2 linked regions of the Rhinolophus ferrumequinum genome follow. The protein of the gene in region 2 binds, or shares a complex with, the protein of the main gene of each other region. Links are inferred from orthologs where the notes say so. Each region holds a gene or a part of one and is shown on either strand. Other genes may lie near its edges.

What was found.
Region 1: the proteins of LPL (region 2) and GPIHBP1 are in contact, whole or in part, in a crystal structure (PDB 6OAU), measured with the Homo sapiens proteins. The link is inferred for Rhinolophus ferrumequinum from reciprocal best matches to the Homo sapiens genes LPL and GPIHBP1. Residues at the interface, in NP_000228.1 of Homo sapiens: Tyr367, Gly368, Thr369, Ala371, Glu372, Glu374, Leu403, Met404, Lys406, Lys430, Lys440, Ile443, Cys445, Ser446, Arg447, Glu448, Val463, Lys464, Cys465, His466, Asp467, Ser469; in NP_835466.2 of Homo sapiens: Cys68, Lys69, Ser70, Leu92, Ala94, His95, Gly96, Asn97, Thr98, Glu99, Ser100, Leu103, Thr104, Thr105, Ser107, Trp109, Cys110, Thr111, Asp112, Ile117, Lys119, Val121, Glu122, Thr124, Val126, Met128.

What each region holds. Positions count from the first base shown.
Region 1 is NC_046297.1:72,417,794-72,433,214, forward strand, and holds GPIHBP1 (glycosylphosphatidylinositol-anchored high density lipoprotein-binding protein 1), read left to right. Parts: upstream 1-7,469; 5' UTR 7,470-7,519; coding exon 7,520-7,571; intron 7,572-8,152; coding exon 8,153-8,287; intron 8,288-9,183; coding exon 9,184-9,300; intron 9,301-9,405; coding exon 9,406-9,641; 3' UTR 9,642-9,759; downstream 9,760-15,421. Other genes in the region: LY6H (lymphocyte antigen 6H), read right to left, coding at 119-238, 922-1,049, 1,549-1,611, 3,937-3,938.
Region 2 is NC_046301.1:52,058,231-52,073,816, reverse strand, and holds the start of LPL (lipoprotein lipase), read right to left. Parts: upstream 6,068-15,586; 5' UTR 5,779-6,067; coding exon 5,691-5,778; intron 1-5,690. UniProt on the Homo sapiens protein: Key enzyme in triglyceride metabolism.

The sequences.
Region 1 (15,421 bases), on a different chromosome or scaffold from region 2:
TGGAAAGGGCCATGGAGGGGCCAGGGCAGGACAGGCACCTGCTCAGTGTCACACAGCAGGCCAGAGGGGCTCAGAGGATCCCCAACCTCTCCCCACCCCGGGCCACGTCCTGACTTACTGCTGCTGGGATCCGTGATCCGGACGCTGGCACACACCGTGTCCGATGGCTGGCACTGCTTCGGGGTGCAATGGCTGGAGTTGGTGGTCAGTGTGCAGTCCTGGCACCATAGGCCATGAGCTGGTTGAGGCCCGAGGAGGAGGATGACCAGCGGAACTGAAGGCCAGGCCGGCCAGCCCCACATCCTCCCCACCTGCCTGCTGCAGGCGCTCCTCGGACAACCGTGCTGCTGTGGGGGGGTGGACACCCTCCGGCCAGCAGTGACCAGGTCAGACTGGCACCTGGAGGGCAGGCCCTGGGAGAACCTGTGTCCCTTCCCAGGAGTCTGCAGAGAGGGTTCTACCACTGGGACTCTGGAAATTCCTGTGCCCCCTCCCGGCCCCCCCCAAACACAGCCACAAGTACCTCACACCTGTGGTGCCCTCCCACACACTCCGACCCCCTCATGCACTCACCCTCCCCATCCCAGAGTCCAACGTTCTAAGCTTCAAAGGACCAAACAGGACTTGATGGGCAGCCAGGTGGGGTTCTGAGAGTGATGGAGCACAGAACCTCTGCACTGAGCGAGGGACAAGCGTGCAGGACCAGTCCGGGTGCAAGGCCCAGGAGGAAAAGTGCTCCGAAGCCCGCAGGGACCCGCGTGGCTGGAGCTGGAGCAGTGCAAGGGAGGGAGACAGGAACTGGAGTCCCAGGGGCTGGGGAGGGGATGTGGGTTTGATGGGCACCATCGGAGGATGACGGCCCCACGGCCCCATCTTCCAGAAGACTTGGCCCACCTCAGGGCGGGCTGCCCCCAGACTCACCGGGCGCAGAGCACAGCAGAGCGGCCAGCAGCACCAAGCCAAGGCCCTTCATGGCTGCAGGCAGCATGCTCCAGACGGGCCTTGGGAAGACGCAGGGGCTGCGGGCGGGGGTCCTCTGGGGCGCAGGCCTGGCAAGGAGAAGCCTCGGTCAGCAGACCCAGCCCTCGGCCGAGCCCGAAGGACCCTCTTTTTCTGGCCTCCAAATGCAACCTCCTCGCAGGAATACACAGCGGGGTCGTCTGGGAGATCGCAAAGCCCCACCCCCAGCCCATCCCCCAGAGTGTCTGTCCATCATCACAGCATCTCTTCCAGCGAGAATAGGTACAACCCGAGATGTGCCCACCCCGCGCCCAGCACCTGTGGGATGGGGGGGCGAGATCGGGGGTGCGTCTCCTCCTCCCTGGGGAGCCGTAGGTGCGTCCGGAGAGAAAAGGGCAGGGCAAGGTGCGAGCGAACGGTACCTGCCGATGGGGGGAGGGGCGAGCGCCACGTCCCCACCCCCACCCCTGGGCTGGGGGGCCGGGAACCCCGCGCTGAGCCCCCTCCCATCGCCTGCCCTGCGCGCATCTCTGCGCTCACCGCTGATCAGAGCGTGGAGCGCAGGTCACGAGTCGGGGGCACACTCACATCCCTGGGGTGTCGGCACTCCGAGGCTCCGGGAGGCGCGGGGATCGGTGCCCTTCGGTCTCCCTGCGGACCGGAACCCGGGCGCAGCTTCGTCTTTCGGGGAACGCAGCCGCAGACGCGGACCCCGCGCGAGGGGCGGGGCGGAACTGGGGCGGGGGTTCGCGGGGGCGGGGGCGGCGGGAGGCGTGCGGGGAGCACCCGCGGCCCTGAGGTCCGCGCCAGGTAGCTGTCCCGGGCGGTCCTGTGCCCCTCGCCGCTTGACCGCTCGCGCCCACCCTCTTCGGTTCCCACTCTCTCCACCGCTGCTACCTCCCCCTACCCAGGCGTGGGCAGGATCCCTTCCCCCTCTGCTTGGCTGAGGTCCCCTTGATATTTCTCGGAAGAACGTTTACTGCGAATTGAAGCAAAACGCACAAAGACGCAGAGAGGAGGAGGGAGGGAATTAACGAGGGGAGGTACTCGTGCCTGTTCACAGACTCGCAGCCCTGGGGCCCCTCCCCTCCGCAACCCCATCCTAGGTTCCGATTGTGAGTGTTCGAGGCTGTTCTCCCTTGAACATCCATGACGATCCCCACCAGCAGCCGCAGCCCCGGGGACTGCCGTCTCCAACAACACTCACACCTGAGGGCAAGTCCCACAGCCTGGGCGGGGTATCAAGGCCATCTGGCCCCGCTCCGGCTGGGTTCTCAGCTTTGTCTCTCGCCTTCCCTGCTCACAAAGCTGTGGGTGTGCTCCGCCTTTGCACCTGCGTCCCTTGTGCCTGGAATCCGTCTCTGGGGCAAGTGTGGGGGTCCTTCCTTTCGTCCTGTCCTCATTTGTCCAGCAAATATTGATGGAGCGCCCACTATTGGCCTAGCGCTGCTCTGGGACCCCCTACAAGAAGATGAGAGGAGGGTATCTGCCGCCGCCCCAATCTTACATTAGACGGATGATGGTCACTTCTATGTCCCAATCATAGCCTTCACTGAGCTCATGCATGTGCTCTGATCCCTGTGTGTGTGTTATCTCATCACGGTCTCACAACAACCCTACCATCAGGTATTGTCATCATTCCCATTTTATAGATGAGGAAACTACAGCACCCAGAGGTTGAGTTCCCTGCCATGGTCACAAAGTGTGTGTGACAGTGACCATGAGATACAGCCACGTTGGAACCTAAGCCCTGGGCTGCAGAACCTGAACACTTCACTGCTGAGCAGCAGGAGTGAAGGCAAAGGAGGAGATGGACAAGGGACCATGACTTGGGAACGGGGATTTCCGCAGATTCAGCAGAACTCAAATATGAGCTGGAAGTCAAAAATCAGCAAACGTCCAAGTGAAATAGCCTCCAAAGTGAGACACAGCAGAAACCGTGGTGAGTGACAGGTTTAAATTCCCACAAACTTTCTAAATCGAAGGTATCATATATAGAATATTAAATCAAACTGTTTCATAGGTTTAAGATATATTAAAGGAAGGAACACTATTAAAACTGACCATGCTTAGCTGGAAAAAAAAAAAGAACCTCTAGGAATGAAAAACCTTTCATCGAAATTAAAAGATCAGCAGAAATCTTGAAAAAATTATGCTAAGTGAAAATAAAAATAATAAAGAAGCATGTACTGTGTGGTTTCCTTTGTATGAAATGTCCAGATTAGAAAAATCCAAGAGACAGAAAGTATATTAGTGGTTGCCTGGAGCGGCGAGGAGGAAAGAATGGGTAGTTTCTGCTAATGATCAAGGGATGTCTTTTCAGGTAGTGGAAATGTTCCAAAAATAGATAGTGAAGATGATTGCAACAAGTCTGTGAATATACTAAGAACCACTGAGTTGTATACTTAAAAAGGGTGAATTTTCCAGTATGTGAATTATATTTCAATAAAATGGTTGTAAAAAAAACTCAGCAAATGTGTTAGGCAGCAAATTAGACACAACAGAAGAGGGAATTTGTGAACTGGAATAGAAATCTGAAGACATTATCAAAAATGTAGCACAGGGATAAGGAGATGAAAAATAAGAAAGAGAAGTTAAGACACACAAAAGATGGTGTGTCAATAGCTCATATAAGACTGGTTGAAGTCCCAAAAGGAAAGAGAGGTCAATATTTGAAGAGATTATGCCCCCAAATATTTCAGAATTGGTGAAAAATAAGTATTTACAGAGAAGCATGACTAAATAGAATAAACAAAAAGAAAACCCACACTTAGGTACAACGTAGTGAAATTGCAGACCACCAAAGACAAAAGATGATATTTTAAAACAACCAAAATAAAGGGAGATCAACTCTAAAAAAAAAAAAAATAGTGGCTACACTGACAGCACAATTTCAACAGCAACAACAAAGGCCAAAAGACAGTGTAATGATATCTTTAAAGTGTTTGGAGGAAAATAACTGGGATTCACACTTACATCAGTGCACGGCGAGTGAAGCAGATTGCTCTGCATCGTGCTGGTGGGCCTCACTCAATCAGTTGAAGGCCTGAATAGACCAAAAGATTTTCCTTGAGCAAGAGGGAATTCTGCCAGCAGATGGCCTTCGAACTTGAACTGAAACATTGTCTTTTTCTGACTCCTGTCTGCTGGCCCACCCTACAGCTTTTGGACTTGCCAGCCTCCATAATCGCATGAATTAATTCATTAATTCCTTAAAATAAGTCTCTCTCTCCCTCTCTCTCCCTCTCCTTCTCTCTCTCTCTCTCTCTCTCTCTCTCTCTCTCTATATATATATATATATATATATATATATATATATATATATATATACACATGCCACAGGGATCTTCTGACATGTCAGTGAATGATGTCCGTCCCTTGCCTCAACCCTTTCTGTTCCCATTTCTGCAGACATCACTGACCACTAACCTTGAAGCCATTCCCAAGCTCTTTTTCCTTTGGCCAAGATGCTGTGAGGCCACAAATAATGTTGTTTTAAGCCCTTAAATTCTGGGGTAATTTGTTATGCAGCAAAAGATAAGACAGGTGGTTGGGGCCTGGCTAGATATATTGGGGGCAGGGGGCAGATGCCCAGTGTCCAAAGAGTAATGTCCAAGGAGTTGGGGCCAGTCCCTGGGGAATGCAGCTTTGGGCCTGCTCCCCAGAGAGCAGAGACCGGTGCTCTCCCACTCTAGGCTTGGTTGCCAGGGAAACAGAGATTCCTATTCTGGTTTCCAAGCTACTCTGCCTTCCTCCCTATGTATGTGGGACAGTTTCATCCTATTAGAATTTTTGCAAACAAGAATACCAGTCCATCCTGGTTTGCAAAAGAAAGGGTTTTCTTTAACGGAATGAGGGCAGATCATGTCACTGTGTGGCTTGGGCCCCTTCTGTTTGAACAGTCCCTGCAGGGAGCTGGTGACAGCTGGCCTTGACCTCCCTTTTCCCAGCTTGAGCTGCCCAGATGCCCTGATCCTGGGGAGCAGGCACTGGGTTCTCACCCTACTCTGTGTCGTTCTGACTAGTACCCACAGCGTGGGGCGACTCTATGGCCATGGCCCAAGTCTCACATTGTCCTCAGGATCCAGGACCATTGGCAAGCCCGACCCATAGCAGAGCCAGGTGGTCAGAACCAAGGACAGCGTTAGAGGCTGCTGCTCTCCAGCCATTGGCTGCTGAGCTTCCTGTGCTCCCGGGCAGAGGGGACAGGTCTCTGGGTCAGGCCCTGACCAGGAGAGGGGTGAGGTTGGGTCACGCAGAGATGTGTAGCAGAGCTTTCTCCACGTATTTTTGGCTGTCCTGGATGATGTGGCTGCAGGCCTTGTTACGAAGAAGGGCCATTTCTCAAAAGACCACCTGGCCTCACCGAGAAGGCCATGCAAGGGTCAACAGAGATACTCTGTGTCATCCACACAGCGATTGTTTCCTGAAAGGTTGTCAAACTCTGAGACGGAGAACATCCCTGACTTCCAGAACAGTGGAGGGATAGTATGTGGGCTGGGCTGAATGCGGCACCCCAAACGATATCCAAATCCTAACTCCCAGACCCTGTGAATGTGAGCTTATTTGGACAAAAGGTCTTTGTGGATGGAGTTAAGGATCTGGAGATGGGGTCATCCTGGTTTTAGGGTGGTCCCTAGATCCAATGTCTGGGAGGACAAAGAGACAAAGGACAGGGAGCCCTGTGGCAGAGACACACAGGGAGTGTCCATGTGAAGACAGAGGCTGACATTGGAGTTTTCAGTCAGATCGGCTTCAACGCAAGCCTAGCTCCTTATGGGGCTGCCACCTGGCTCCTGGCAGCCAAGAGCTCAAGGTGGCAGATCTGCTTCCCTGTCCACAGTGTGTGGGGGACATTCCCTAAGGTCCTGGAAGCCCCCATCGTAGGGTGCCGCACTCCTCTGGGCCTGGTGTCAGGAGCCCATTGAGACTGTACTGGGAAAGGGGAGGTGTCAGCAATGATGTCAGACTTGAGCCCCCTCCCTGGAGCTGAGGCCCCCTGGGGTGATGGGTCACCAAGAGGAGAGGGATGGATGTTTGGGGGACAACCTCAGTGTTGGCATTTACCCAAAGGCACGGAAAACTTGTCCACACAAAAACCTGCACATGGACGCTTAAGCAGCTTTACTCCTAACTGAGAAAACTTGAAGCCGTCAAGATGTCCTTCAGGAGGTGAGTGGATAAACTGTGGTCCATCCGTCCACACACTGGAATAGTATTCAGCACTAAAAAGAAATGCGCTGTCAGGCCGTGAAACGACAGACGTGGAGGAACCTGAAATGCACATGACTGAGTGCAAGAAGCCCACGTGACAAGGCCACACAGTCTATGGTTCCAACGGTACCCATTCCGGAAGAGGCAACACGACGGACACAGTAACGAGATCGGTCATTGCCAGGAGGGTCCGGGGGGAGAGAGATAAACAGCTGGAGCACAGAGGGTTTCCAGGGCAGTGAAAATCCTCTGGCATGAAATTATAATGGTGGGTACACGTCATCATACACGTGTCCAAATCCACAGAATGTCCAACACCAAGAGTGAACCCTAATGTGGACCATGGACTTGGGGTGGTTGCGATGTGTCGGCGCAGCTCACGTATCACTCTGGTGGGGCACGTTGATAACGGGGTAGGCACTTCGGGGGTGGGGGCGTATATGGGAATTCTCTATCTTCTCAATTTTGCTGGGAACTTAAAATTGCTTTGAAAAAAATGTCTGATTTAAAAAAGAGAAAGTTTAAGAACTGAAAAAAACATCAATGCTAGCCTGGACATCTGGGACTGAGTCAAGGGCAGCTCTGAGCCAGGCACTCCTCTCCCAGGCACCAAATCTTCCTCCATAAAAGGAGGGGCCAGGACTAGCTCACACTCAAGGTGCACCAGCTCTAACATCCTAGAACTTCGGACACGCTCCCACCATCGCGTGGCCTTCCTCCACCCCTCTGTGAGCTCCCTGCACTGCCTTTCCAGCACTGGCATGTCTGTGTTTTCTCCCTTGCTCACCTGCTGTCCTGGGTGTGGCCATCTCCAGGCACCGGCAAGTTCCACCGGGGCCAGTGGGGACACAGGGACGCCAAGATCAGGCTGCCCTCCGGGAGCTCCAGCCTGGTTGGAGAGACAGGGCATCAGCCATCCTCCCCAGCTCTGTGTGGGGATCAGCAAGATGAGTGTCAGGGTTCAAGGCACTTGGGCTGAGCTGGAGAAAGGGGAGAACAGGGCCCAGGGTGTCAGCGGAAGGGTCTGTCCAGCTCAGCGGCCAGGTCTTGTGGGGGCCAGAGGTGGAGTCTGGTCCTGAGCCTCACCAGCCCCGGGTACTGGGGCCAGAAAGCCAGGTCAGGGCAGAGCAGCACAGATGGGCAGGACACCCAAGGCCAACACTGACTTCCCTTCCCCTGGGTCCCTGAAGTCCAGGAGGGAAACTGTCCCATTGTTTGAGGCTGGAGCTGGGGGGGGCCAGGCCCAGGGGCTTCCAGGAAGCCCCCAGCAGTACTCTTTGTCCCATTTCCCACAGATGCAGAGCCCCAGCAGGACAAAGTGAGCAGATCCAGAGCTCCTGGCAGGATGAAGGTGCTCCCGGCTGTCCTGCTCGCCCTGCTGTTGTGCAGGCAACCAGGTACTTGTGGCAAGGGGACGACCCTGCAATGACAGCGGACCTCATAGTCTGGGACCCCATCCTGGGGACAAGACATGGCTTGGGAGAAAGGGGGATGAGGGTGCAGTCTGAGGCCAGAGGGAGGTGGATGGGGGCTCTGTGGGCTCCCATAGGTCCCCAAACCTCTACACTTCCAGCCCCGGCCCACTCCTGGGGGACACAGGCTCCCCTCCCCACCAGCCCCAGGCTTGGCCTCTCCGAAATGCAGGCTTTGGGGTGCCCTCTCCTCTCTCAGCCTCAATTTCCTTTTCTGTAGAATGGGCAGGCTACCCTGAGGGTTCAGAGGCGGGGTGACGGGCAGCTGCTGTAAAGGGCCGGCCACAGCCGCTGGGGGTAAAGACAGTGCCTGGTCATAGTCAGGTACGGGGCCAGGGCCTGTGGAGACCCAGACAGCGACCTTGCCTGTGTGGGAGGCTGCAGGCAGGGAAGGACAGAGGGATGGGAACAGGCCGGATCTAGGACTGGGGGCTCGGCACTGGGCGCCGAGCGTGTGTCCTCTGCACCTGGACAGCAGAGGTTTACCGGCATCCCTGCGTGGCCAGGGAGAGGGCGGGCACAGGATGAGGATAATGACGACTACTTTGGCTATGACGAGGACGATGAGGACGACAAGGACGACAAGGATGATAAGGACGACGAGGACGACAGGGAAGACGAGGCAGGCAGCGGCGGCAGAGGTACCTGTCCACCCCGGCCCCCACCGTAGGCATCCGTGCCCCTCTTTCAGTACTTCTTAAGGGTGCCCCTGAGTGCCAGGCTGGGTGTGGGGCTGGAGTAATGTGGACGCACAGGCAAGGGCCGCCTGTGAGCTTGCCTTCCAGCGGGGCAGGGAAGGGGGTGAGGAGGGGACCCCGACACTCAGCACACCCCTCACCTCACTCACCCTGGCTGTGCCCTTCAAGTGCCATCCAGGGTAGGGAGCCTAGAAGGAGCTCCTACTGGGACGGGCAACGGTGCCTGGGCAGAGAGGTTGAATAGGGGTTCACCAAGCAGAGAGGGGCTCAATGGAGCCTCAGGATGGAGAGAACAATGAATACAAAACCCTGGATGTTGAGTCATGAGCAGAAAGGCCCTCTGGAGCAGGGCAGGGCAGGGGAAGGTGGGCTGGCCCTGGGTCAACGGGGTGGATAGGCTCCTGCAGGTGACAGGGAGCAGGGACAATGGCTTAGAACAAAACAGAGTGAGAGATGAGACCCACGCCCCACCCCTCATCGTGACATGGAGGCCACGCTTCCTCTGTCCCATACCCGAGGATAAAGCCAAGGGCGTCACCAGCATCCAACTTGCATGGCCTAGGGCTGCCAGCCCAGCCCTGCCCCTTACACCCCCAGCATGCCCCCCGCCTCCACCCATACCCTGTGGGCTCTCTCACCCCAGGCCTTGGCTCTGCAGGCCAGAGGAGGTGTGGAGGGAGGCTCTGGCAGGGCTGACTTTGTGGGCATCAGCTGAGAACAGCAAGGGGAACAGGGAGTGGAAGGAGGTCTCGGCGGTGAAGAGGCCGGACTCGGACTCCCGGGTGAGCTGGGGGCTCCGAGGACTGTGGCGCTTGGCCTGAGCCCCCCTTGCCACACAGGATGGCTGCAGTGCTACTCCTGCAAGGTCTTGCATGAGGAACAAGACTGCAAGGAGATGCGGAGCTGCCCCCTCAGCCAGCCCTTCTGCAAAACCTTGAGCTCCCAGGGGAATACTGGTGAGCAGCCACCCTGGCACCCGGAAGGCACACAGCCCTCGGGGGGCCTCATCCCTGCCCGGGCCTTTCCAGTGTGACACACTCTTTCTCCACCGCCCCCACCAGAGTCGGGTCCTTGGACTACCTACTCCGGGTGGTGTGCAGACACATGTAAACCTTCCACCAGAGAGGTAGCCGAGATCCTGATGACCACAACCTGCTGCCAGACCACCCTGTGCAACATCCCACCTTGGCAAGGCCTCCTGGCCAGGGGCGCAGGAGACCCCCAGGGCAGCCCTGAAACTGTGGCCGCCGCCTTCCTTTTCAGTCTCCTCACTGGCCTGTGGGCAATGGCGTCCTGACTGTGGCCGCCCCGCCCGTGTCCCCCCCGCCTGTCTTGTACCCTGGTGGGCCAGCACCCTGTCCAATCCTCCCCCTCCTGCCCCTCTCATCACCAGCAGCTCTGGAGAATAAACTTGGAGTGCCTTTAATGACTCAGCCCATCTCATTTCCTCGTTTTCCCCTTCTGGCATCCTTGCCCTCTTCCCACGGCCCCGGTGGCGGGATGGGCAGCACATGGGCCTCAGGTCCAGGCCTCAGCCTCTCACAGGGCAGGTCCACAGGCTTAGGCAGAGAAAACACGCACTATATGCCATTCCCTCCCCAGCTTCCCACCTCCATCCACTCATGTGCCTCCCAGCCCACCTGCAGGAGGCTGTGGGTGGGGACCAGGTGGCATGAATGAAGGGCGGCTGGAAGAGCAGGACAAAAGGGTGAGGCAGGAGGGTCGGTTAGGGTGGGACTCTCCAGCCAGCCCCTCAGCCTGGTGGGCATAGGTAGAGGGGAATGGTGGGGGCAGTGTGCTGAGGGGGGTGAAACAGGCCTGTAGGTTCCTGAGAAAAGGAGCGGGACAGTGGGAGAGTGCTGAGTAGGTGAGCCCAGCCCTGCCTGTGCCAGGGGGTGGCCCAGGCCTTGTGGGTCCCCCAGGATTGGCTCTGGCTGAGTTGTATGGTTGGCAGCTGGGCACTTGGCCTTCTTGACTGCACCAAACTCTGCTTTCTCACCACTTGGTGCCAGGACAGAGCTCTGTGCCTCAGTCTCCCCATCAGAGCAGTTATGGAACAAGGCTTAGAGGGCCCTTAGATCCCCACCAGCTCAACATCCCTGGGTTGGGAGGTCCAGAGCCCTCTCCTGCCTGTCGCCTCCCCAGCAGGAAGTGTAGCCTTCCACTCTCCATTCTCCCCTTCCCTTAACGGAAACCTCAAGATCTAGCAGGTAAAGGTGGCAGGCTTCTTCCCCTTCCTCCTTCCTGCTGGCTGGAATGATGGCTGGAGCTCAGCATCCACATTGTACCATGAGGCAGCATACTGAGAACAGCAGGGCCGCATGGAGGAAAGGGCCTGGATCGCTGATGACCTGAAGCCATTCTACCATCCCTGCACTGCCTAACCCAGAACCCCATTACCTGGGAGGGAAATAAACTTCTGCTGTGTTGAAGCTAGTTATTTTAGGTTTCTCTGTCACTTGCATTTTCACATACTCTCACACACACTCATGGACACTCGCTCACAGACAGCTCCTGTTAAGTTACATCAGATGAGAGCACAGCTCAGGGGTCATGCTGCCTGGGTTCAAATGTTCGACCCATGCCCTCCAGCTCACATTCCAAGTGAACATTCAATCTCCAGGTGAACCCTTTCACCTCCCCAACTGGTTTCCTTGTCTGCTAAGTGGGAGGGTAGGTGAGCCCCCCAGTAGAGCTGCAGGGAGAATAATGAAGTGCCACATGTAAAGGGCTTAGAGCCCACGTCTGGCACAGTACGCTTAGCAAACATGAGCTATTGCTGTCAACACGACCACGATGGCCCTGGGTGCCACCTGTGTGTATGGTGGTGGGATCCCCCACCAGAGTCCCTTACGATCAAAGGAAACCTCATTAGCCTCACCTGCCTGCGTTAGGAGCACTGGGTGCTGTCACCTGTGTTCGCAGAATTCTTCCTTCATCCCTTGCCTTAGAACCTGGCAGAGGTCTGAGTGCACATACCCCACCCACCACACTCCCCAAAGATGACCCCCCTTTAAGGCCCTTGCATCAGATGTGAGAGGGTCTGCGAGCTCAGTCTGAAGCCATAGGGGCTGCCCTGGCCGTGGGCTCCTGCTTTGGGAACATCCTCTTCTCCAGGGTCCTGGGGCCAGGCCGGCAGCTGGGGCCCCAGTCCTGCCCCTGGGGAAGCAGAAAGCACAACCCCCACTCATCACTGGGCTCTAAGGGGGACCTGTGGGCACAGAGGAGGCAGGGCTCAGGCCCTGGCGACCTTCCAGAGCACACACCTCACCCCAGGCACGTGCAGGTGTTTGGCCTTCAAGAGCCTGATGCTGGAAATTTCCAGAGCCTGCTGGCCTTGGGTAAGGGCTCTGTCCTGCAGCTCAGATGCTGCCAAGGCCTCCCGCCCTTTCTCAGTGTGACTTGAGGGACCCCAAGACAATAGAGGGGCCTGGAAGTCCCCAGGGCTGAGACACATGCAAGTCCTCCAGTTTGAATCAGCCACTTCCCGCTGTGTGACCTCGACAAGCTGTTTGTTTAGTCTCTGTGTGCTCAGGTCCCTGCTCTGAGCCCTGGAGCTGGCCCTAGGTGGCGGCTCGGCTCCTGTGGAGGCGTCCTTTCTGTCCCTCTTCCTGGCACTGGGCCTGCTCTCTGGTCCTGCTCCCTTCAGTGACCCCCCACTCATACCCACTCGTTCCTAATGGGGAGGAAACGAATGAGCCCATGGGGCTGAGGGACCCCTTCCCAACCTGCCTAACCACCCCTACCCTGGAACCAGCTCCTGGAGCCCCCTCAGGGCCCTGTGTCCCCCACCCAGGGAGGACACTGTCTCCTTCCCTGCTCTTCTGGGCCCACACAACCTGCCAGCTGGGACCAGCGGCTTTGGGGGGTCCCATCCTGGCACAGACCCTCCCTGGGCACCCCTCCCCTGCAGCCTCCGTCCTCCCCCCAGACCCTGGGTCCCCTCCCCTCCTACCATCCACCACACCCGTTTTTGTCCTGTTTGCCCATGTCCTCCCCTCCTTGGGTCATCTGCCATTTTCCGCTGACTGCACCCCACCCAGGCTTGGCTCCTTGGGACTTCCTTCTGCCGGCACAGGAAGCAGGTGGCCGCGGGGCGCATTTCCAGTCCTTGTTCTCCACCATGAGAATGGGATGAGGATGAGAGGATGACCCCAAAGCAGGGCTTTCCTGAGGATGGAGATTCCGAGAGGCGCCCTCCTCCCTCGTGACCGTTGGGGTCTGCAGGGGCCCTGGGACCAGGGACAGGTCAGCACACTCAGGTCCTACCCGGGACCTTCCGGAGCAGAGGGGAGACCTCGGGCTCGTGTGTATATCACAGGGCTCCTGATTGCAGAGAGGGTCACATCTGGTCCAGCCCGCACTCGAGGCGCTGTCCAGCACACAGGCTTTCTGCGTCGGGACAGGCACCCGAGGGAGAAGTGTTGGGGCCCTGAAAAGCTCGTGGGCTGTGCTCAGGTGTACTGAGCGGGAGCTGCCCGTGGGACCAGGGCTGGCGTCGACCGACCTCCGAGAATGGAGCCGGGGGTGGGGATGGGGGAGCTGTGGAGGAAGTAACGCGGAAAAAGCCTCCACTCGTGGTTCCCCCTTATTCACGGTCATCATTCTTCCCAGAGAGAAACCTGAGATAAGGAGGGCGCGGGGGTGAGGGATGGAGTGCAGGAGGGAGTGAGGGGGGCATAAGAGTGAATGAGGGGGTGTCGAGGTGAGTGAGGGGGCGAAAGGGTGGGCGAGAGGGAGGCAAGACTGAGGGAGGGGCTGTGGGACCAGAGTGGGGTGGGAGGAGTCTGCTCGGGGGCGGAGCCCATCGCGGCCGACCACCGAGAGGCCCGGGGACCTCGCCTCCTAGAGCGGCACCGGAAAGGGGCGGGCCCGGCAGCAGGACCTTCCGGCGGGTGCCGAGGCCGGGCTCTCCGCTGGGCAGCCCCCCAGGGCCGGCGCAGGAGGCCTGGGGTGTGGCGGGGCTTGGCAAGGGCCCCGCCCAGGGCCCCTGCGAGGGACGCCCGCGCCCCGCCTCCAGCCAGGGACAACCTGGGTCCCTCCGGTGTGGCGTGGGCCCCCGGCCGAAAGCATCGGCTTCCCGCTCTCGAGGCCAGGCGCGGCGGGCAGAGGTGGAGGCTGCGCGAGGACTCCGTAAAGGCGTCGCCCCGGGCCCTGCACGCGCAGCTGGCGAGGCTCTGTCGTCGGCGGCGGCGGCGGCGGGGCGCCTGTCCCTGGCCTCAGCACAGCTGCTGGCCGCTGCAGGCCGGGGCCCAACAGACTGTTTGCGTCATGTTGGCCCCAACAATCCCCTGGCATGGGTGCCTGGATCTCAAACCCACTGGTAATCCGGTCTCTCCTTGAGACCCAGGCTCCTGGAGGGAGCTTGGGTGAGTGAGTTTTCCCGGAGCCCGGCTGCTGCTGGATACCCAAAGCTGCCTGTTCCGAGAGGTCCGGTCCAGAGAGCAGAGGAACGACACTGAAGTTGCACAACAGGTACCAGCACCCAGCCTTGGGCCAGAGCCCTCCTCTGCTCCCGCATGTGGACGGAGTTGCCTGTGTGGCGGTAGCAGTCACCGGTGTCTACAGGCCTGTGACACGAGGGGACCAAGACGATGACCTCTAGTCTACTCCGTTTTGAACAACTGTTTTATTCCTTGGTGTGCACGGCATGTAGAGAAGGGAGTAAATCCAATCCCTGCCATTAAGCACCTGCCACCTTGAGCTGGGCGGACAAAATAATTGGAAGGTTTCCTGAGCACCGATAAGTACAGACTCTAGACAAGTAACTAGAGACGCAGGGACAAAAAAACATGCTCCTTGCTCTCAAGAACTCTGCCTCATAGGGAGACTGCCACATCAGTGACAAGCCACATGTGGAGTGACAAGAGTCCTGGTAGGGGGCACAGTGCTTGGAGCACAGAGCAACCCCACACAGGCCTCAGGTCGCAGGTTCAGGGGCCGAGTGGGGTGGACATAGGGCCCAGGTGAGTTTGCACCTGCCTTGCAGAGCGGCGACCACCAGGGCACCAGGGTTGATTGCGCTTACGTATTGGTTCGTGGTTTTCACCTCATTTTCCTCCCAAAGCTAGACCCCAACTCAAACTCCTGCCTGCTTGACTGGTGCTGTGTTCCTCGGCCCTCGTTGCACCCACCCTCCCTAGGACACATGCCCCCTTCTTTCTGCAGCCTCCCCTCAGCACAGGTGACCTTCCTTCATCTTCAGTCTGGCTCCCACCTGATGCTGAGAATGGCCTCCTCCCAGAAGACACATCCAGTAGAACCCTCTGAGTGACACTGGCTGGAATCCACATCAGGTGTATCTAAACGTTTCATTTAGAAGAAACCAGACCCTCAAACTCCTTGCTGGGAGATTTGTGCAGCCATTTTATGTGTTGCTTCTATGTGTGGGAGAGAAGGGAGGAGCCTGGGTATCCCCTTTGACCTAACAGAGAGAATTCAAAGTACTTACACCGCAAGGCATGTGTCACTTGGGATGTTATCACCCGGAGCACCACACTTTGGGTAAGACGGGCTCCCTGGGTTATGGACCCCTTGTATGTAGGGTAACCAGCACAGCCCTGAGATGCTTCTGCTGGAACGCCTCTGTAGTGGAGCTCGAGGATCAGAAGATGCTGTGCTTTCTTGGGAGCACAGAGGAAAGGGCTATCTCCTGATCTCGTGTAGATTTCTTTCGCCAGCGTCTATGGAGCCTGAAGTTTATCCAAGCCGATGCTGGAATTCCAGGCCTAATGCTGGAATTCCATTAGCTAGCCCCGAACAAAGACGCAGATCAGAAAAGAAATAGATGAGGGCTCTTAAATGAAACATGAGCCATGCAAGTCATGTTTCTTACATGCACCTTGGGGCCGCCTGATGCCTGTTTGAACTTGCAGTGAGATTGGGATGCCTTTAGATGGAATCAGGGAGAGCAAATGTCAGACTTTTCAGACAATGCAAGCAAGTACCTCGCTGATGGTTACCTGCAGTTCTGGCCTTCAGTAGGTGAGTACGCTCCGGTTTGGTGCTACAAGGAAAGCTCGAGTCACGCAAGGAAGCAGGGAGTGGGGGCTGTGTTTGGTTGATTAGGGAGGCCTC
Region 2 (15,586 bases):
TGAGTTAAGCAATATTGATCTCTCCTTCCATCCTCTCCTTCAGTCAGTATGTGTGTGTATGTGTATGTGTGTGTCTATGTGTAACTCTTATTTGAAATTCCTTAGTTAATTCAATCTTATCTCAAGATACGACTTGATCAAGGTCATGCTGCTAATAGTGGGAGAGAGAGTAGGGACCAGAACCCAGGTCTCTCGGTTCCAATTCAAAGCTCATTCTTATGGTGATCACATGATATAGTTCCACGTATTTCCTACATCACTTCACCCTTTTTAAATCCTGGATTACATCAAAGGAATGTTTTCCCATAATATGATTAATATGATACAATAAGTCTTATTTGAGGAAAGACTGTCTCCTTTTCACCAGCACAATTTTTAAAAATATTAGCAATAAGAAAAGCTAGTGGCATGAAGAAGCTTTTGTATGGAATGGTTCCTACCCCCATGGCAAGACACATCCGTTCAAAATGTTCAAAAAAAAAAATCACTTAGTGAATTGTTCAGAAATACCTGTGCTATATCTGTGCCATAGTTAACTCTTTCCCCAAATAGTTCTTTTCCCACTTACATCTTCACAGTCTTCCACACACAGTCAGAACTTAAAAAACTACTGCAAAGCTGGTTTGGGGAAAAATTCACTTTGGTTCTTCATAGTTAATCCCAAAATGAGTAAGAGGCGAAAGAGAACTTTAGTTTATCTCTCTCCAGACACTAAATCTAAATGATGATAAATTTTCACAAGGTATTTGTAGACAGTACATATCATATCAGAGTGAACACTAAAACTGTATTGCAGATGAAATCGGACTGTTGTACAAAGCAAGCACAGTCAAAGGGAAGTTATATTAAGGAAAATGATTGAACTTTTTGTCAAGTAAAAAAAAGTCAAAAAAACCTATCTATTCATTATTAGAAGGTAATAACTTGTAGATTTTAGATTTCATTATTTAAAATTTTCAGAAGATAAGTAACTGAAGTTGCTTAGAAATACGTCTAATTTTTTATCTAAATGTACTCACTTTTCATAGCTCAAAGGTTGAAAACCTGTTATTTCAAATAACATTGCAAAAGGGAGGCCGAAAATAAATATAAGAATGACATAAGGAAAGACAGTCATCTGAACCAACCTTATCATATAATTACCTGAGAACTGGCCAATATTTTCCTTTTTAATTATTTTTCAAAATTCCTTAAATAATATTGTGGTTACTTGCTAAGAGATTTATTATATGCAGCAAGTGGATCACACACACATACATACACACATCTCTAACACTTAAACATTCTTAAGATAATTTGTTCAAATAAGAGACTGTAGTAAACTATTGATATTTAAAGCTTTTTTTCATTTTTTCCATATAGTAAAATTGAACTTGAAGTCCACTTATCCATCAAGAATACACTCTGCCTTACATACTATTTGAAGATGTCGGTCTTCCTTTTTCTTCCTAACTGGAAAGCACACTGGTGGCCTTATTATTTATCTGATAGTGGAAAAAAATATTGTAGATTTTTAATCTGCTTCTGCTTTAAATACCCAAGAAGTTCTTTTCTTGTTAGAAAATGCTTCAGAAAATTTAAAACTAAATTAGTTTCACCTACATCTCTCCACATCAAATAACTCATGCCTCCTTGCGAATGGTCTTATTTTAACATGTTCGATTAGCAGTCTTTTTAAAGCAGGAATAATCTGAGCAACCTGGCAGACAGATCTCACCCACCACCTACTTGCCAAACGGATACGAAGACTCTTGCTTTGCACAACTCCACTCACTTTTAGTCTATTTTTCCCTAGAATTATACAATATGGTGGCCCTGGTGGTGCTGACGGTTTTGAAATTACTAAGAATATTATTTGTAATTATAAAGGCTAGCTTTGAACATTCTCTCTCTTTCTCTCTCTCTCTCTCTCTCTCTCTCTCTCTCTCTCTCTTCAATCCATAGATCCTGTATTAGATTATCTATACGGCTCATTGAGAGCTCCAGTTTCCTGCAATCAACATTTAATGTTGGGTACATAGCTTGTAAAGAAAAATAATGGGAAATTCATACATTCTCAAGCAAATTTGTATTTGGAGACTTTTATTTCACTTTCCAAGGAAGTTATTTTTCATTTTAAGTTATAGAAAGCCTAATGAAGCCTTTGACAGGAAAACAGTACCTACTCTATATAGTATGTGATTTTCAATTCTATGTCAGTTCAATATATGAAATCATAAACGACAGTCTTTCCTTCCCTCTGGTGTTCTGATAGGAATTTTCACACTACAGGTGTTTGTAACCCCTCAAGGATGTCTCAGCATCCTAAAGACAAATGTGCTTTACAAACCTCTACAGCCCTCAAGCAACTGATGTAGGCTGCATAGAGATAGGGAGATAGATGGATCCTGACTGTGAGTCGGTATGTTAAGTTGTCCCAATATACTCTAGGATTGCTCCTGCCTAGCAAATGAACTGATTTGACTTTGCTGTTACTAAGGAAATTATTGTTTCCACACATGGAAATGATATTAGTGACTCTGCATTTATTCTTTTCAGGGGATAAGGACCTCTTCCCAGGTCCCCTTAAAAATTAAAGCCATCTTAGCATAGTAAAAAAAAAAAAAAAGAAAGAAGAAGTAGGGGGTTACCTAAGGTGTATTCCTTCCTAAGGGCCTCCATCCTGAATTCAGCACCACCACGCCAACCTGACCCCACCTAATATGCCTTTATTAAGCACTAAGGGGAGATTTTGGGGTACCAGGCAAATTACTAGTTAATGCATTTTTTGACTATGTAATCTTTATTTCTAAATAGGTAGCTAAAACTCTAAGTGTGTACATAAAGACAAGGAATTTATCTTAACATGGATAATAACTCACAAGAATGAAATTAGGCTGAGAAGTCAAAAGCACTTTAAGGATAAATTTATAGGGGGTATATTATTGATGCTCGAAAAGAAGGAGCACAAAGCATCCCAGAAAAGACACTCTTAAGGCAGCTCAGTTATCAGATGTATAAGATTGACATTTATAAGACATGAGGTATAAGAGCTCAATTGTAATGCAATTCTCTTTGAAGTTTCTATTCTCTCTCTCTCTCTCTCTCTCTCTCTCTCTCTCTCTCTCTCACACACACACACACACACACACAACTCCTAAAGGACTCTATCCTAACTCACATCCTCTCTGAGATGGATGGGCACAGTTATTGACTCAAACAGCTTCTGTAGAATGCCAAGAAACAAGTCGAATAGATGAAAACAAAACAGTTTGGGGAGGGGGAAAAAAATCAGTATTGTTATCTGACGAACCGATTGGTCTTTTCAGGTATTCCAATGCAGACAATGTTCCTGACTTACCTAACAAGCAGATTTGCTCTTCATTTTTGTAGGGGAAAAAAAATGTTTGTAAAAATAGAAGCAGTAAACTGTATAGCCCAATTTTTCCTCCCAGAATAAAGCAAGAAAGGAGGACTGAGCTAAAAATACACTGCCTGAAAGAAAGTGAAAGTTTTCCACGTAACTCTTCCAATACAGCTGTCTATCAATCACTCCCTCACCGAGCTCTGCTCCATTGCAAGTAGTATCTGCTATTTTGCTGTCATAATCCATCATGTTTAATTCAGATGTTAGTCTGGAAATTCACTAAGTCCAGTCAAATAGAACCGCAACTACTGAGTACTGACCCATACATTCCATCTCCTAGTTCTTCCAGTTTCCTGATAAGGCCACACAGAGATTGTGGTGGCTCCAAGAACAAGGAACCTGAGGGCATTGCCTCCTATCCTCATATTCTTCTTACAATGAACTGAGAATAAGTAAAGTCAGAGCCCACAGGAGGGGCCCTTACACCTGTAGCTTTCGGCTATGAAATTCTTACATCTTAAATAAACTTATTTGGAGGAGAAAAGAAGCCGAAAGTTGCTGTGACGGGAGATGCACACTATAAAGAGGGGTTGTGTGGAGTGAGCGTAGGAGGGAAAGACAAGGGATTAATTTCAAGTCTACTTAAAAAATGATTCCTCCTTTAATACATTTACAGTCGGGAAAAGCATGTGTTTGTTAAAATCCAATTTAATTCATGAATCACGTAAGTGTCCATTTAAATCAAAAAGTAAGACTTAGAGGGGCCTATGAGAACTCTGAGTCTGGTCCAAACTCTTCATTTTAGAGTTGAGGAAGCCAAACTCGGAAAGGTGACACTGACTAGCCCAGGAATTTAAGGTCCTGAACCTCTAAGGGAGCCTAGCAAAAACTTAAACTGTGGTTGGCACATATTTGTGCGTGTTTTACTACACTATAGTGCACTTTTAAAAATAAGAATCTGGAGTTTGTTCCTACCATCTTCTTGGACAGCGTTAAATACTATCCAAGGGGAACATGCCTCCACATAAGAAGTTTAAGACTTTCTAATTGAAGCCCTGACAGAAACCGATCTGACAGAAAAGATACTCGTCTTTATTATCCAATTCAGCTTTCATGGAATCCACATTTTTTTTAACCTAACAAAAATGTTCTTTCCCACAACTCGGTACTGCGGTAAACTTTCAGCTACAGTAAAAGTCACGGACAAACTCGACTATAATTTGAACCACTGCGAACTTGCCGCCTGAAGGCGCATCCAAGCGACACCGCCCTCGCTGCAATTCCACGAAGGAAAGAGAAAAGAAAATGCTGCCTCCTTTCATGACTTGTTTCAGTTGCCTTTTTATAAAGTTGCCGTTGTATATTAGCTGAACCAAGGCTCAAGTTAAGCAGGCTGTCTCTATTGTGGGCAGGTCTCGGACAGGGGGCTGGTTCTCCCACCACCATCCCCCTCCACCTGTCTGCCTGCCCCGCACCTCACACCGCGATTAAAGAAATTTGCATCTGGCTTCCAACGCCCCCGACTCCCCGGCGATGACGAGTTCAGCCGCAGCCTCCCGGCGATGCCCCGAACGGGACTCGGCTCACAGGACGGTATGGATAGCCAAGTGCAAACCGTGCAACCCCTAGATCAGCGGCCACGTTTTCAAGAGGGTCACCCCTTCGCTAGATTTTCTGCGCGCTAAGAAGAGCGGAGCGTGCAAGAGTGGAAGGTGGGGAACTTCCGGCGCCGGAACGCGTGCAGGATGCCGCGTCCCCAGACCTCCGCTCCACGCGTCGCGCGTCCCCCACTCCCATCTGCACGCGGAGGGTGAGGGTATCCTGTGCCTCTAGGATGCGGGCAACCCTTCCTCCCGCCCGATTCCTGCTTCTCCCGGAGAAGGGGCCACTTTCTGCCCGCGCTCCCACAGGCGGGGCCCGAGCCGCAGCTGCTGCCACGCCAGGGTCACCTTGGCCTGCGTGCCTTTCATTCCAGTCGGTCACCGCCATCTGGGCCCTTCCTCCCGCCTCCCTCGTCCCGCCCCTCACACTCCCCCCGTCCCTTCCCGGCCGAGCCCGGGCGCCAGGGAACGGCCTCCGCCAGAGCGGAGGGGACAGCGCGGGAACCCGGAGAGAGCGAGAGAGCGGGAACTAGGAGCTGCCCCAGCGAGATCGGAGGGACAATTCCCTCCCCTCTCTCAGCGGATCCCGCCCCGATGACTTTCCGGAGCCGCACTCGGGCTGGAAGAGTCTCCGGAGCGCATCTGCACCCGCTTCAGACTTTCTCGTTCGAATCCTCACCATGCGTGGAAGTGGCCACTGAGCCGAGTTTACAGGAGGAGCGGAGTGTGCACGCAAAACTTACTGTCGGCGGCGGCCAGCCCTCCGCGGGAGGCAGTCAGACTCTGGAGGCACACGCCCAGAGCCACCAGGAGCAGCGCTTTGCTCCCCATCTCGAAGCGCGTCCCTCTCTGTAGGAGCTACAGGTCACGGGAAGAAGCGCGGACAGATTGATGGACCTCGGAGCCCGAGGCAGGAGTAGGCTGGAGCCGCGGTCCGGCGCCCAGCAAGTCGCCCTTTAAAAGGGAGGGCAGGGCAGCTAGAAGTGGCAGGTTTCCTCGGAGGAGAAGGAATCGAGTCTGACACTGTTTCCACTCCACGGCTACTTATGTGACTGGAAATATGCAAATAAACCTCATCACCTATTGGCTATAAAATCATAAGTTGGGGGGAGGGCCCTAAATTCACTTCCAAATATTTGAGCAAACTGTAGTGAGGATCAACCCTGCCAGCGAGAAGAGGGGGAAAGGGCAGAGAGAAATTTTGCTTTCACTGTGTTTCCTACTTGCTTTTCCTAAGGGGTCTGGCTCTCCAGGGCCCCCTGTACAAGCACCAAACACAGGTTTATGTGGATTTATATTAAATACTCCGCAACCACCAGTTTTCCACGGAGGACAAGTAAAGCTGTTAAACTACATTTGGGATGCTTAAACCCACTCCTCTTTTGATGGACCCTGTTTGTAACTTGCAGGGTTTTTTCCCCAAAATTCTCCCGGACAATATCAATTTAGGGATCCACAAACACACGGTTTTCTGCAGCTTGCGCTTGAACAATCTGGTATGTTAACATTGGCAAAATGGATTAGCTGATGTGGTGGAGAAAAGCCTTCTTGCTCTGATTACTAAGTTTTGCCTCGTGCAAATTATACTCAAACCCATCAAAGAATGCAAGTATAACATTTTATTCTCAGAGGCAGAATATTGAGGTCAAATAATTTAAAACTGTATTGTTATGCAAAGTGAAAGAAGCCAGTCACAAAAGACACGTATTGTACGATTTAATTCCATTTATATAAAATATCCACAAATAGGCAAATCTTATAGACAGAAAGTAGATTGGTGGTTGCCTGGAGCTGGAGAATGAGGTTGGGGGTGGAGAATGGAGAAGTTTGGGGGAATGGTGATGAAAATGTTTTAAATTACGTTATGGCAATGGTTGTACCACTGGGTAAACATACTAAAAAAACATTAACTTGTACATTTTAAGTGAGTGAACTTTATGGTGTGTAAATTATATCTTAATAAAGCTATTAACACAGATGCATTAAGGTATGTAAGTAAAAATAATAAGAATAATGAAATCACGTGGGAAATTGTTTTTTTGTTGTTTTGTTGTTTTTGTTTTGTTTTGTTTTGTATTTTTGCCAAAATGCTCAGAATACTCTCAAATGTCTTTTTAAGTATAAAGGATTTGCATTAGTCAGAAAGGACAGTTTAACTCTATACTCTTCACTTTATATCTGAGAAATAGATTCAAAAATAAAAACCTTCAATTCACTGTCCATATTGGATTATTTCTCTGAACATCTTTATTGCTTCCTTTTACTCATCCCTCCCTCCATCTCTCTCTCTCTCTCTCTCTCTCTCTCTCTCTCTCTCTCTCTCTGTCTCTCTCTCTCTTTCTCTCTCTCTCTCTGTCACACACACACACACACAATCTTCATTTGTATGTTAGAAGGATGAAAGTCCATATGATTTAAACGAGGCTCACATTTAAAGTTTTTCTCAAAAATGAAATACACCTGATAATACCCATATAATTCAAAGTGTGTTATTCTATAGAATAGAATTCTATTTTTAAGTTGATGCATTAAATGGCACAACACAATATATTGTCCTGTATTATTGTCTTGCAATTATTGAACAATATGTTGTGCACATTCATCTCACAGAGCATGTGGAGGAATTTTGAAACCTGCCAAGAATTAATCCCCTCAAAAGAACTTTAGAAGTGGCAAAACAGACCATGCAGGTGATGAGTAACTATGATGTGACAGTCCTCCAAAAATTATATAGTAAAGTCTAATTTTAAAAAATGACACGAGGTGAGTACAATTGTGTGTGGTCAAGGTTTAAATGACATATAAACAAAAGTGCAAAATGCCTACTATCTTAAATAAAATACTCATGCAGTCTATTTTCACACATTAATTTTTTTTTAAATCATTTGCTAAGACAACCAAACCATCAGCACTTCTGTGCCTTTCAGAGAACTGCAAGAAGATTGCCTGAGGGAAGTCTGCTATATGTTTAAAATGATTTCTCAAGTTAACAGATAACAAATTCAAAGCAATCAAGAGTTAGAGTAATTCTTCATATATATGAATATGAAATATACACATGAAACCGGTTTTGGCATGGCCTCTAGTGTTACACTGCATGTGCATTCGAATTGCAGAGATTTCCAGGAAGAATTAACTCACAGCAGCTCAGCCTGTTGGAAAAAGCAGATGGATTGGCTCCAATGCGAGGGCAGGTGGTGGGCCGGTGGGTGTGGCGGCAGCGCGCTCTCCTGATTGGCTTTTCTCGGAGCGATCAGATGCCTGCGTTCTCGTGCAGAGGCTCACATGACCTCCAAGTCCAGACTGCATGTGCGTTAGCGAGGCGCCTCATCCAAGCTTCAGCAAGGTTATTTGATCACCCACACCGTGAGGTATGACGGTTTCTGTAATTGACATTTCCTTTGTAACAGACTTAAAAAGTTTCAGTTTAAAAGAGGCTAAGCTTTTTATAGATGTTCAGCAAACCAGTACTCATGACTGGACGTCTTCTCCTCGTATGAGTTTAAAATGACGTAAGTAGAAAGTTAATTGTGTATACCTAAAGAGACTGCCAGAAACTCCAGAACTCCACATGTAGGGAAACTCTCTCTCTCTCTCTGTTTCTCCTCCTTCCTATCTATCATCTCTTTCTATCATCTATCTGTCCTCTATCATCTATCTAAGTATCTATCTATTATTTAGATTGAGGGCTTGCTATTTGCACACACTGGGCACTTTTCAATCCTTTCTGTATGTAATCATTACAAAAACACGGTGAGCTTAATAATATTCCCATTGTACAGATGAGGGAAGATAAAATTCAAGGAAGATTAAATAACACTAACCACAATTCATACAGTGTTTTTTTTCTTTAGTGATCCCAGAAAAGGAGGAAAATGTATTTGATGTGTTATGTTAGAATGTTGCTGTAATTGCAAACCGGAAAAGCCTGGGAAGCAGATGTGTTTTGTACATGCAGAGCTATGATGAAATGCCTGGGCTCTAAAAGAGCATCAGTACTGAAATGTATCTGGTGTCTATCGCAAAAATTATGTTTAATGTAGGAAAAGAGCATTACTGGTACAAATGAAATTTACAAATACAAAATCATAAATATAAAAAGGTTTTTAAAATATTTTGACTTTTAATAAGAAAAAAACAAAACCAAGATGTTTACTAAAAATTCCCATAGACTTTTCCACTGCTACCCACTTATATCCTGGCCTTAAACTGTAAACAAGGAGGAGCGCCAGCTGTGTCCGGATGGAGATGGGATGTGACAGGGTGGGGATAAGCATGAGGTCATAGCTGTAGGAGCTGCCCTACTGGGTAGTTAAGTGGAGCTATTGATCTTGCAGGCCTCTTTGATTCTTTACCCAACAAAGCTAAATTGAAAAAATTCCAAGTAGCAGTTCAAGGGACAATTAAACTCAGAGGGAATATAGTTCTCCATTGATAAAGTTGGGTGTCCTATTCTGGAAAAGTTAAAGTACAAATAAATATTATATTTAGCCAATTTGTTACTGTCTCCTTCCTTCACCCGGTTTGCTTTGGGGGTGAAGGAATTGTGAGGTGTGGAGAGAACTGCTTCAAATAATAAAAGTGTGTTGTTAAATAATCCAGACATATTCTAAGGATTTTGGTTTTCTTGATTTGGGGATATTCATTCCCTCCCCTCTTCCAAACACAAAAGAAACAAAAAACAAAGAGAAAGAAGGAAATCATATTTTAATATCAGAATTAAAAGATTTGTCTAAATAAAGTGAAGAAAAATAAAAGATATACAAATTTTTTTAAAGTGAATTTAAAAAAAAAATAGTGTATTGCAATGGCCTGTCCTGGAACAAGGCATTATGGTAAGGGGGACACGTCAGAACATACCAGAGAGACAGATGCTGTCACAGAGAAGCTACAACAGGCCAAGGGGGAGAAGGATTCCGGCCTTCCCTAGTAGACAGCTAATACAAACTAAAAAGAATGTCCCACAGATAACCTGGATTTATAATCCATGTTTATTTATAAGTAGCTTTTTTCTCCTTCCCCCACCAAAAAAACTTAAAAACTTAAGTTCTCGAAGGAGACTTTCTATCAGACCTAGTTAATGACTTTACTATGCAAGACCATGAATGTTTTTTGCGGAGGGCTTTATGTTCTGAGATAACTTCAGACAAATCATCAAAGCCCTAGACTGACAGGAGTGGACCTGACTCTCAGCACAGACATGTTTGAAGTGCCCCCTGCTGTCTTCCTAGGGACACTGTAACATATCAAAAAAAAAAAAAAAGTATTTTAAGGGGTTTGAAACAATTGACTTGAGTAATCATTAAGCTCTTGTATTGTTATTGGAACTTTTCTTGTTTCTTTTGTTAAATTATTTATAACAATGAAGGAAGGTATTGCTCTTCTCACCTCTGTGGTACTTCCCACAGCATCAGACTGAGAAGTTAGGTGGTTCTCAGTCAATAGTTGTTAGGTGAATTAATAACCCTGAGTAAAAGATGATCCAGTGCTAAGTGGGAGAGAAAGCAGGATATTATTTTATTTTAAATTTTCACTAGATTTAGTAATTATGAAACTTGAAGACACACCACACACACACACACACACACACACACACACACCCTCCTTGCCATGATCTAGTCTACTTGGACCAAATCTATCCAGTTAGGGAAATGGAGGACAACTTCATTTGACTGAAGCTTTCTGTTGGCCTTATATACTTCTCTTCTTCCTTTTAATTGAATTTGTCGTTATAAAAGCTATAATATACTCTTGACCAAAATAAAACCACAAAAGACAAAATTTCAAGCAGTACAAAATTGTGTGCAAACATAAGTCTTTCTCTAACTGCAGACTTCCAATGCTCTAATCTCTCTCCAGAAGCAACTAGTTCCCTTTCTTGTGTATCTTTCTAGAAAAGTCTATATGCATTTACAAGCATAAATGTGTTTGTAAATGTGTGCATGTGTGTATATTCATCCACATATTCACAGCTTATTTTTTACAGTAATGTCAGCATATTGTAAGCACTGTTCTGAAATTTATTTTTTCACCTAATAATGTGCCTTGGAGATGAGATCAAGCAGTAGGGCCCCTTTGTTTCTTTCTTTTTATGGTCATGTAAGATTTACGTCTATGGTTATACCATCATTTATTAAACTAGACACCTATTAATAGTTGTTTAGTTCTTTTGATAATATTAACCACGTTATAATAAACAAAGACAAATTCTTTGAAGTTATTCAGTCAAAAAGTATAAATATCTATCATTTATCATTTTAATAGTAAATCCACTGGGTCCTCTAATGAAACTGCACAAATTTACATTTCTACCTACAGTGTAGAAGAGTTCATTGGTTGTGGACATTCTAAACTATTTAGTGTCTCCCAACCTGGAAAGTGAAAAATGGTCTCATTTTAAATTTCATTTTAAATAATAGTACCTAACTCTCATGTAGCACTTGCTATGTGCCAGGCATTCATTATTCTTAGAACTTGGCATATATGACTGATGTAATATAAAAACAGCTTTATTAAGATACAACTTACATATCACACAAAACATCCATTTAAGGTACAATTAAATTGCTTTTAGTATGTTCCCAGAGCGGTGTAAACATGACCAATTTTAGAACACTTTAATTACACCCGAAAAAGCTCTGTACCTTTTAACTGTCACCCATCACCTCCCTCCCCCACCGCCAGCCCTGAGCTACTTTCTGTTTCTATAGATTTACCTATTCTAGACATTTCGTGTACATGGAATCATATAATATGTGGTTTTTCTGACTGGTTTTTTGCACTTAGCATAATGTTTTCAAGGTTCATCCATGAGTTGAAGCATGCGTCAGTACATTCCTTCTTATTGTCAAATAATATTCCATTGTATGGCTATAACACATTTTATACATCCATTTATCAGTAGATGTATATCTGGGTTGTTATCACTTTTTGGCTACAATGAATAATGCTGCTATGAACATTTGTGTACAAGTTTTTGTGTGGACAATATATTTTTAATTCTCTTGGGTATATATGGAGGAATAGAATTGCTGGATCGTGTAGTAATTCTGTTTAAGTCTTTGAGGAACTACCAGGTTTTAAGTACCTCTTTCTCCAAAGTTTCCCAGATTTCCCTCTGAGAGTTTGTCACCATCTCCTTCTGTTGCAAATTAGTGTTCATTTCTTGATTGTTATAATATGATATTATTTGCTGTCTGTCTATTGCATGAGACTGTGGCCTCACAAAGTTGAGGATGAAATCCATTCATAGCCTCTGTCTCCTTAGCACCAAACACAGAGCTGGGTACCAAAGTAGGTACTCAAATATCTATGCGAACAAATGATTGAATAGCAGAAGGAAGGAAGGATGGAAGGAAGAAAGGAAAAAAGGAAGGAAAGAAGAGTTTAAAAGGTGAAAATCAGTATATACTGTAAGGTATTTACATTTATCTCAAAACTTATTTTCTACTTTCCTTGGCAAAATTGTTAAATAAAAGAGCCAGAATTAAAAGGATAAACTGAAATCTTTGAAATCTTAAAGAAGTTTATGTATGAATGAACTTAACAGTGTGGCTCTATTCACAAAGGAAGTGAAGATAAATGCCAGAAGTCAGAACCAAATGAGAAGGATCCAGCTCTGAGTTGTATTGTCCTAAACAATTGTGATTATATGGCAGTGGTTTTACTTTTATTACATGACTTCGATATGGTATAGCAACTGATAAATTTTATAGGTGATTTTTTTCTCCTACTTGAATTGATATTTTAGTGTAAAACTAATTGCCATTTTTATAATTTTTTGTCATCAGTGGTAAAGTTACAGTACTATTTTATCAAAAACTTGCGTACACGTCCAGTGCCAATTCCAATACCTTTCATTCAAGATATTTAAACAGTCTAATAATAATACAATATATCACATAAGAGCAGATTTCACAGTTGTAAATGCTAAGGCATCATACTCAGAATTGAGAATTTGCCTCGACCTGGCCTGATTCTCAAAGAACCCTACAGGAAAATCAGCACACCAACTGATCTTCAAAATTATTTCTAAAAGCTCTACTCTCTAACTTCACGTGTCAATCACCATGTTTCCTCTCATTACACAGGGATTTGGTTGACCCTTGTCTAAAATTCTACATAGCCATGTGAAGCATACTGCATGTACCCTACCCTAGATGCACTCTTTGGACCATTTCAAGCTACAAAAGTTCAATCCAGCTGACTTATTACCTAATAGCAATGTAAGAGGGACGTAAATCTGCCAGGACCTTGAGTCTACATTATCAAGGGCTTTCTCTGGAGGCCTTGAACCCAATTTGTCTGCTTGGCTGCGCGGGAGAAAACAGACAATCTCATCGGTTCAGTCTTGCCTGAATGAGAAAGGCTTTTCCATCTCAGACTTCAGTTCTAGCAGCTTTCTTGAGGAGTTCCAAGGAAAGCAAATCTCCTTAGAACTCGATAGAGAAGAAGGTAGAGAATAGGCAGCAAGATCCACAATGAAAGGGAAGGAGACCACAAAAGATGTAGCTCTGTACCTATTCCTGTTTGCTAGGACCCTGGCCCCAGGGATCATTTTGACATTGCCGTCTCATGTACCCCGAGATGGAATGTTTTGTTCACTCAAGCCCTGCAAATCCCTCTCTGTAATGTGCTGAAGCTGGCTTATATCAGCTTGCTAAAGCTGATTGTTAAATCTGTAGGAGTTTTGCAAGCAAGTTGATGGCACTTGTAGCTTGAAATGAGCCACTGAGGGACTGTTTACACCATGGAAATTGGCAAACAGTACCAAGAGAGCTGGCTGTCAAACATTTACCAGCAAACCACTTGTTCCTACCCTATAAACGCCTACATATAAATCAACGGTTCTCAACTAAAAATGATTTGGGCCTGCAGGAAATGTCTGGAGACATTTTTGTTTGTCCTAAGCGGGAGGAGTGGGGAGTTGCTATTGCCATCTAGTAGGTAGAAGCCAGCAATGCTGCTAAACATCGTACTACAAACCCATGTAACAAAGAATTCTCCAGCTCCAGATGTCAACAATGCTGAGATTGAGACTCCTTGGTGTGAACCTTGAGAAAGTAGAGCTTCCTGATGGGATGTGCTCATTAAGACCAAAATAGATTCCCAGTAATGGAACTGACTAGGATATTCCTGTAATCACTCCTTGTCCATTAAAAGGTTTCACATAGTCACCTACAACCATTGCTAATGCTCATGTATTAAAAATTAACTTTGCGGGCACTTCACACATGAACTCTTGCTACCTCTTCTGCATCAGTCATATCTACTCAGAGTGTAGTCCTGCCCACCCCCCAATGACCTGTATCTCACGCCTCTTTCATCCTATTTTGGTGACATTCTGCTACCTGCAACCAACCCCTATCCAACTATCTTAAAAACAAATCAAAACAGATTTATTGAGATATAACTCACATATCATACAATTCATCCATTTAAAGTATACAATTCAATGGCTTTTAGCATATTCACAGAGTTCTGCAACCATCACCACAATAAATTTTACAGCACTTTCATCACCTCAAAAATAAACCCCTGGCCAGCCTGGTGGCTCAGGCTGTTGGAGCTCCATGCTCCTAACTCCGAAGGCTGGCGGTTCGATTCCCACATGGGCCAGTGGGCTCTCAACCACAAGGTTGCCAGTTCAATTCCTCGAGTCCCACAAGGGATGGTGGGCTGTGCCCCCTGCGATTAGCAACGGCAACTGGACCTGGAGCTGAGCTGCGCCCTCCCCAACTAAGACTGAAAGGACAACAACTTGACTTGGAAAAAGTCCTGGAAGTACACACTGTTCCCCAATAAACTCCTGTTCCCCTTCCCCAATAAAATCTTTAAAAAAAAAAAAAAAGTATTTAAAAAAAAAAAAAAGAAATAAAAACAAGTAATAAAAGTACAGACACCAAGATAATCCAGACATTGATGTTAGCAGATAAGGACTTTATAGCACCTATCGTAACTAGGTTAAAGAGAACAATGAGCAAGATATATGAAAATGATGAATGATGAAGAATTTTAACTGAGGACTGTGAACTATAAACATGTAATCAAATGTACATTTTAGAACTTAACATAAAATGTATAAAATCAAGAACTCATTTGGGGGTGGCCGGTTAGCTCAGTTGGTTCGATCCCCTCATGGGCCACTGTGAGCTGCGCCCTCCACAACTAGATTGAAACAACTACTTGACTTAGAGTTGATGGGTCCTGGAAAAACACACTTAAAATAAATAAAAGTTTTAAAAATAATAAAAAACAGTATTAAAAAAAAGAACTCATTGGACAAATTTAACAGCAGCTCAGATATAGCAGATTACCGAATTAGTTTTGACACAGAACAATAGAAAATACCAAAGCTGAAGCATAGAGAGAGAAAAAATAACAGATCAGATTATAAAATATGTGTTTGTATAGCCTGGTGAGCCAAGTATGGCTTTTACATTTAAAAGAAGAATAATGGCAAACTATTATTATTATATCTAGTTTTATTGAGGTATAATTAATAAATAAAATTGTATAGTCTTAAGGTGTACAATGTGATATTTTGATATACGTTGTGAAATGATTATCTACAACCTGTTATTGTACAAATCAGTGAGTTGAGGATAGTTTTAAATTTTTAAATGGTTGCAAGGAAGCA